2 linked regions of the Arabidopsis thaliana genome follow. The protein of the gene in region 2 interacts with the protein of the main gene of each other region in a pairwise test. Each region holds a gene or a part of one and is shown on either strand. Other genes may lie near its edges.

Evidence for each region.
Region 1: the proteins of MKK9 (region 2) and PPa5 interact in a two-hybrid assay, tested with the Arabidopsis thaliana proteins (one large-scale study listed by BioGRID).

What each region holds. Positions count from the first base shown.
Region 1 is NC_003075.7:624,361-628,883, reverse strand, and holds PPa5 (pyrophosphorylase 5), read right to left. Parts: upstream 2,816-4,523; 5' UTR 2,682-2,815; intron 2,665-2,681; exon of another isoform or gene 2,562-2,664; intron 2,346-2,561; coding exon 2,210-2,345; intron 2,135-2,209; coding exon 2,106-2,134; intron 2,029-2,105; coding exon 1,963-2,028; intron 1,883-1,962; coding exon 1,775-1,882; intron 1,693-1,774; coding exon 1,627-1,692; intron 1,533-1,626; coding exon 1,412-1,532; intron 1,332-1,411; coding exon 1,250-1,331; intron 1,169-1,249; coding exon 1,126-1,168; 3' UTR 814-1,125; downstream 1-813. Other genes in the region: TIP1;3 (tonoplast intrinsic protein 1;3), read left to right, coding at 3,034-3,792.
Region 2 is NC_003070.9:27,638,562-27,642,599, forward strand, and holds MKK9 (MAP kinase kinase 9), read right to left. Parts: upstream 2,083-4,038; 5' UTR 1,791-2,082; coding exon 858-1,790; 3' UTR 530-857; downstream 1-529. UniProt on the Arabidopsis thaliana protein: MKK9-MPK3/MPK6 module phosphorylates and activates EIN3, leading to the promotion of EIN3-mediated transcription in ethylene signaling. Autophosphorylates and also phosphorylates MPK3 and MPK6.

The sequences.
Region 1 (4,523 bases), on a different chromosome or scaffold from region 2:
CTCGTGCAAACCATCATGCATGATGCATTCCAGGGGAGATTGTTGACAAAAGAGTCATCATAATTACATTTGATCTTTTGATCAAAAACATTGAAATTACGTTTGATCTATCATGCAGTTGGTTTGATCCATTTAATTCGCTGCAACGGTAGCATGTAGGTGTAATAGAGTGGATATATGAAGAAAAATAAGCATTAGTATTTAGTATACTATGTTATTTCCATCTACTCTTTCACAATTTTTTTTGTTTCAGTAAGATTGATTCTCTAATGTTATGTGTATTTTTTTATTTATAATAAGTGACATGTAGCCAAATTATTTTGCTTCACTTTAAATAATATTCAATATTTTTTCATGTAAAACTATTAACTATTTTCAAAATCAACCTTACAATAAATGCTTAGTCCTATTACTTTTGTTTTGAAAATTAATAGAATGTAGGTGTAAAATAGATAATATACATGTATAAATTTTTTAAATATCACTTATTAAAAAAGGATGAAGTATTACGCTTATATTTAGATTTAAAAAAAAAAAACTAGAGAACTAATAAGATTTTTGGTAAAATATATTCTGGTATTAAGTGTTTTTTTAGTGAAAAGGAGATTGATATACACGCGCCAATTTACTGGTATTGATATATACTGGGCCAGGCCCATTTTGGGGTGAGCAGCAGATCCAACTATCTGACAAAAGAAAGAAAAAGAAGTTCTCCACCACCTGACATTTTCTCATTCTGATTCTGCAAATCTAATTGGGATTTGGATTTCAGAGGAAAACAAAATGTGGAATGGGGACTCTTCAAAAATGACAGTGACACTTATTTATAAAAACAAAAGTCTGGTTTCATTGGAACCAAATCGAAGCTTGAAATTATTAAAAAAAGATCCAAAGGCAGTGTTACAAATACAAACTCTTAATGTTCAGACAAAACATCCCCAGAAGACAACAACAACAACAACAACAAAAAGGAAAGCGTCAAAGCCAAATATGAGACACGTGCTTATTCAAAAAAAATCCAAATATAAGACAAATTCTTGTTCTTTTGCATATTCACTGCAACAGAATCTGAGATTGCAGACCCAAAAATTGGCAGGAATGTTCTTGAAGAAGTCTTCTTTTCATCTATCTCCTCAGGGTGTGAAGAATGTACTCAGCGTAAAGATCCCTGTGAATGATTTCAAACATCAAGATTTGCTTAAAAGAAAAGCAAATTATGTAAAAAAGGTAAAAAGAAAAAAAAGTTTACATTGAGTACTGAATGGCTTCAATAGCAGGACCAGGTTGTAGAAAATCATTCACTGCAACTTCCTTGTTCTCATTCTTCTTGTCTGTTATATTTTGGTTAAAGATAGCAAAAAAGAAATGGTTTTGTTTCCTAATCAAGTATTAAAATAGGTTTTAAGGATACAGTCTTCAAAGAATCGACGGATTTCAGAAAGACGATGAGGAGGAAGTTCATTGATGTTAGTGATGTGCTTATACTCAGGATCATCAACACAAACTGCAATGATCTTGTCATCTTTTTCACCCTTTATTTCAACCAAAACCCCAAAGAATTAGCTACAATGGTTACACAAACTTGAAGCACAAGGAAACATGAAAAACTAAAGCTTAGGATGTTACCTGGTCAATCATAGGCATTAAACCAATAGCTCGGGCGCGAAGAAAACAACCCGGAAGCACAGGCTCCTGTACATAATCAACTTTGATAAGAAATTATTTCAGCCATTTCATTTTCTTTTGGTGAATGTTGTTAGAATTAGACTCAAACCTGCATGATAACTAAAACATCTATAGGGTCATTGTCTTCACATAGTGTGCGTGGGACAAACCCGTAGTTGTGAGGATACACAACCGAAGAATAAAGAATCCTATCAACCTGATAGACATATACAAACACTTACGATCATCATATATCCTCAGATCATTCTGTTTTTTCAAGATTTGATATCTTTTTACCTTGATGAGACCTGTTTTTTTGTCAAGTTCATATTTGACTTTGCTCCCCTTTGAGATCTCAATAACCTAATTTCATCCAAAAAAGACAAATGATTAACTCTTTTTCGATCGGATTGTCACATCATCAAGCATAAAGACTTTACCACATTGAAAATCACTGGAGCTCCAGGTCCTGCACACATAGAACAATTTAGTTAAAAAGACTCTAATCAAACACACAGAATATCTTTAAAACAGTGATTATTACCGATTTCAAGATCATGCCATGGATGTGCAGCAACCGATCTCTTAGACAAAGATGAGAGAATCCTCTCGTTTAAACGTGGAGTAGGGTTCTGAAGCTTCTTCTGAGGTTGACTCGTTTTCACTTCTTCTCCATTCATCTAATAAAACAGAGCAAAACAGAACCAAACGTTAGAATCTTGTTAGTCAATTTTCATGACTTCACGTCTAAATCAATATAGAATCTTTTCACTATTGATGCTGATAACACGATCCATCACTCAAAGATTTAACATCAGATTCTACTAGTACGATAAACATCAATCATCTTCAAGATCGAAGTTAACAAAATCTACATAATTCAGCTAAACACTAACAATTTGTATCGAATTTGTTCATTTCTCGATAGATCTTCCGTTGGATACAAAATCCAGAGGATCAAACATCAATACGCAACAAAAGTTGAGATCAAGAACCTTCAAAAAAAAAAGTCGTACCTTAGAATCGTTTGAAGAACAGAACAATCTTGCGGAAAGTGTGGAGAAAGAAAAGTGACGATGATGAGAAAACAGTAAAGCGCGTGTTCTTCAATTGCTACCCATAATAGTATTTATAGAAAGCGAGAAAAACGGATTAAGATTTAATTAATTGGTAAGTAAGTTATTAATTAAATATGAATTTATAATCACCGTTCGATTTCTTATAACCTAGGGCCCACCGTAAAACACTAATCTCAGTCTCTTGAACGATTCTCATACACACACTTGGCACTAACGCTTTAACTATTTAAACTTTTACTGATGAAAAACAAAATGAAGAGGAAGCAAGAAAGCAAATTTTTTTGTAACGATGCCTATCAACAGAATTGCGATTGGAACGCCGGGGGAAGCTAGTCGTCCCGATGCGATTAGAGCAGCTTTCGCGGAGTTTTTCTCGATGGTTATATTCGTTTTCGCGGGTCAAGGCTCTGGAATGGCTTATGGAAAACTAACTGGAGATGGTCCAGCCACACCTGCCGGTCTTGTGGCCGCGTCTTTGTCTCATGCGTTTGCGTTGTTCGTTGCGGTTTCCGTTGGAGCTAACGTTTCAGGTGGTCATGTGAACCCGGCGGTTACATTTGGGGCTTTTATTGGTGGAAACATAACGTTGTTGAGAGCTATTCTTTATTGGATCGCTCAATTACTCGGAGCAGTCGTAGCTTGCTTGTTGCTCAAGGTAAGCACTGGCGGGATGGAAACGGCTGCGTTTTCGCTATCATATGGAGTGACGCCCTGGAACGCAGTCGTTTTCGAGATTGTGATGACGTTTGGGTTAGTTTACACGGTTTACGCTACTGCCGTGGATCCCAAGAAAGGTGATATTGGAATCATTGCGCCTTTGGCGATTGGGTTAATCGTTGGAGCTAACATTCTGGTTGGTGGTGCTTTCGACGGTGCATCGATGAACCCCGCGGTTTCATTTGGTCCGGCCGTGGTTAGCTGGATTTGGACGAATCATTGGGTCTATTGGGTTGGTCCTTTTATCGGTGCAGCCATTGCAGCTATTGTTTATGATACTATCTTTATCGGTAGTAATGGACATGAACCACTTCCTTCTAATGATTTCTAAGTTAGGTTTTTTTTTCTTGTGTCTTGTGAAACAAGAAATCTACAGTTGTAGCCTACTATGGGTATTTTGAGGGAGATATGTGTTTTTAATTGTTTTTCACTACTTTTGTTGTTTTAAGTAATTAATAAATTGATTGGTGGAAAATTTACACTAATTTAAATTAGATTAAACTATTATGTGGGGTATACGTAGTATTCTGCCATACTTAAGGAATTCATGTACAAACGAATTTTATTGGAGGCATATTCTTGAGATTATGCTTCCATGGTGAAAACTGAAAATATATCAAACATAATGGGACCCGCCATTATCAATAATACTATGAAGATATATATATGGTTGGTTGGTCCATGCACGTTCTTTATTTTATTTTTGGCCCAAGCACGTTCTGATATGTGAATCTTAGGCTAATGATTTTTTAGTCGATTTAAGTATTGAACAACACACACAAAAAAAGGAATTCAATAAACGGTACTTCGGTGTCCCGGTGTTTGCTCTAAACGCGTTTCCAAGTTTCTTGCACGTTCAAGCAAAGTGCGATGACGAGATTTGATGATACTCACGATGTATATTCCTCAATAACAATAATTGTGATTAGTATTATAAGTTTATATATATAACTCATCGTGGATTTAGAAGAGTTATGTCAATGGTCGATTGGTCGTATGTTTTATTGTTTTTACCACATGGAAAACTAACTATTTTATGTATCAAGAATTGTAAATAACATG
Region 2 (4,038 bases):
TAAACAAAACCACCGGAATTTTCGACGAACATCCATAGCGAGATTGTTGCGCAAGCAAGTGCCAAGTGGTGAGTGGGTGACCCTTATCAATAATATTATTTTCTTTGCGTAAGTATATTTTTGTTTTTGGCAACTACATTTTGATTTTCATTAAAACATCATCAACTGCGCCACCCTCTTTTTTTTCTTAACTTGCTTTATTTAATTTTTGTTTTTCCACGAAGATAAAATGAAAATAACTAAATCATTGCTATAATCAAAAACTCAAAAGATTAGATCTATATGTAGTTTTGGGTACATTACGTTGCAATTATTCTTTACATTACTTATAATATTTTTTCAAGAGCATTGCCATTGACTTACGGTGAGAATCTGTAATAAACACAATGATATTATAATTAATAAAATTATTTTCATCAACAACAATCAAAATCTATTTGTATTAGGTAAAGAGAATTTTTTTATTGTGAATTATTTTAAGATTATGGAGACTAATGGGCCAACAAACATGAACTATAAAATAAAATGATTGATTATGATTCAACATTCTACAATAATACTATAAGATATCTACTACACTTGTCACGAGTGACTATTACTTTTTGATTTAATATAGATTAACCCAAAACTTATGTACACGATTGATTGAATTAATGAATTGAAAAAGAACATAATTTGATGATCTTAATAATTAAGGGTTCTTACAAGAACGATTTTCCCCTAACATTCTGGAGTATATTATATGTACAAAAATCACGATCATAAATATCTCCAGAAAACTCTACAAAAATTAAAATAATTTCAAATCTAATATTCCAACTTTTAAGATTCCAGATTCTGTTACAAAAGGAATCGAATCAAAGATCTTCCCGGAGAAAAGGATGAGCAAGAAGCTGCGGCGCCGTCCATCGCTTACTCGAATCTTTACGGAGACAACACTCAACGAAGCTCCTAAACTCTTCAGAACATCCCTCCGGCGCTCGCGGCGGTTCTCCAAAACACACCGCGCACATCAACGTCGCCCAATCAGGTCTCTGTCCCGGCGGAAGCAAAGGAAAATGACCAACGAGAAGCTCAAGCATCATCAATCCGAAACTCCAGATATCTCCGGCGTAGATATCAGAGCTTCCACCGGAAGATTCCGAATCAAACCTCTCCGGACTCATATAAGCACAAGTACCAACATACGAATTACACGAATCTAATGATCGGACTAAGATCTTACTAACTCCGAAATCAGCGATTTTAACTTCGTTTTTCGAATTGAGAAGAAGATTCGCCGGTTTGATATCACGATGAACGATCTTAAGAGCGTGTAAATAGCTTAATCCTTTTAAGATCTGTTTAGCGAATCCGGCGAGTTTTTGCTCCGTTACACCGCCGCGTAGTGATTCTAGGGTTCCGCCGTCCATATACTCCATTAGAATCGATACTTCACCGACGACAGGTTTCTCGAAGATTCCGTGACACTTAACGACGTACGGTGAATCTGTACGGCGGAGAATCTCCATCTCTCGCATCAACTGTCTTGTGAAAATCGGATCCATGTCGCCGTTAACTGTTTTCAAAGCGTAGATCTCCGATGTGGTTTTATGACGGACTTTGTAAACAATCCCGCCGTTTCCGCATCCGAGAACGTTGAGTTTCTCGAGATCACAAGCGGAGATTCCGTTACAGCCAGCGACGGTGGTGGTGGTGGCTGAGGAGGAAGAGGTGGAGAAGCGGCGGTCGGAGATTGGAGGAAGAGGAAGACGGAGATTTAGCTGACGACGTTCACGTACTAAAGCCATGGAATAGAGAGAAGAAGAAGAGAGAGTGATGATGATGATGATGAAAGAAGAAATAGATAGAAGCTTGAGATTTTATATGAGTTTCAAGTCTTTTACAGTGTGAGGAGACAACGAGGAAGGTGAAGATGACCTAATTATCCTTCTTTTTCCTTATTTAGTTTTATTCTTATCTTAAAATGGATTTTTTTTTTCTTTTTTTCCTCCTATATAATATCGTAAAAAATGCAACTTGTGTGAGTGTTTGATTACGCACGTGGTTAATTGCATCAGACTGTAAATTTGTTCACATTATATAATATATCATGGAAAATGACTAATCCTAATCGTAGTACAACGATAAGGTATCTAAAAGTTATTGGAATTGAAAGATTTGGGCGGCTTTGGTTTTAACTATAGTGTAAGAAAAAACGGTAACTAATCTAGTAGTTATACACTAATAAATGATTTGTTGCCGACTATTAATAAATGAGATTGCTTTAGAAATGAAAAGTGTGAAGGTTCGATGAACGAAGAGGAGGCTAAAGGACGAGGAAGTTAATGACTAAATGAGGTAATGAGAAGGACCAAAGAGGAGGATTAAACATTTTGGTAGGCCAACGTGGAAAAGCTTCTAACAGCCATCTGTTTGATTTCTAAGTATGAGGCCATCGTATTCAAATGTTTGGCAACTTTTGTAATCTTTTATTATATTTGATAGTATGTTGTAAGAAGATTCAGATAAGATCTTTGAATTCAGGACACATACGTTTATAGTATTTTCTTATAGCTTTAGCCTTTATGCGTTATGCATGTATCATGTGTGTATTTATGCACATGCCTTATAGACATAGCTCCACAAAATTTTGAAATCAGAATCTAACCATACTTGTAGAAGAAAAAAAAATCTAACCATACAGGATTTTGTATAGTTTTTTTTAATGAATTAAAGAAAGTTTTAAATTACAATCTTTAACTACACAAAGTTTAAGAGCTCAAATTATATCTGTGTGGTATATAACCTTAAGTTTACGGTTTGGATTATATATTTTAAATTGAAATTAAAATTTTGTGTGATTCAAACAAAGTTTAATTTTGTGGGGTTGTTAAAGATTTGAATTTTTGAATATTTAGTTGATGTTTTTTTTGCCATATATATGTAGCATTTAGCATGTGTCATGTGTCTATTTATTGAGCACATGCTTAATGATGTTTAATTACAAAATTGTGTGTGTTTTTAATTTAAAAATTATTAACCAGACATTTGTTCCACACATGTCGACACATAATTATAGCATCAGGCCCAGGGTACGTACAATGGAGCATTCCTGGCTCCAGGAAGTTGCCTCTCAATCTCAGTAATCGTATTGCACCTTTTGGCCATTTGTACAACACTCACTGTGTGGAGCCGTTGTGAAGAAAATTAATTATTGGGCTTATATGAGGCTTTATAACAGATTAACATTTGGGCTTTTCTTCATAAATGGGCTTCAGAGTTTGTTGCATTAGTGACTGGCCCATCCCTCGGTTGCTTTGTCCTTCGTTGTTGTGCTCTGTTTTCTCTTCAGACATAGACTTACAAGATAGTGGGCCTGATGTGCTCCTACTTCGATTTGTTTGGTTCAACAAAAAAGTTTCTTTGGATTTATTTTCAATTGGGTTGATTTACAACCATTATTAGAGTGGGCTTTTATAACATCTGATTCACTTTTGCTACTTCACTATAATTCGATAAAAAAAAATGTTAATCATCATGACATGGAGAATTGGAGATTATTCCAATTACGATTGAGATTTATGATGTTTTAGAATAAAAAAAAGTATGAACGAAGTCAAATATTACAACTGAATTGAGGTATATTATTTTGGTGAAATTGAGTAGATTTAGTTATTTAGTACTTATGAAATTTCCTTGATATTTTCTGTTTGTAACCGTTCAATATATTAGATATTTCATGAGTTTTAAATAAATCTAAAGGCAGTTTAGAATTGATCCCAAAGTTGGAACTTAATATGGCGAACAATATCAATCTAGTAGAGATGTTTGCTTACATGAAAGAATTGATGGAAAAAAAGAAGCGAATTTCGATTTACGCAGAGTGAAAAACCAGCATCCAAACAAAGCAAAACATACAAGAACTGTAAAAAAAACATAGACTAAAAAGAAGCAATTAAGTGTGGGAATTAAAATCAAAGAGAGACAAGTCTTCCATGTATCCACCATACCATGGATCCGACCTAATCTCCCATGTCGAATCAAATTCAAACGCTT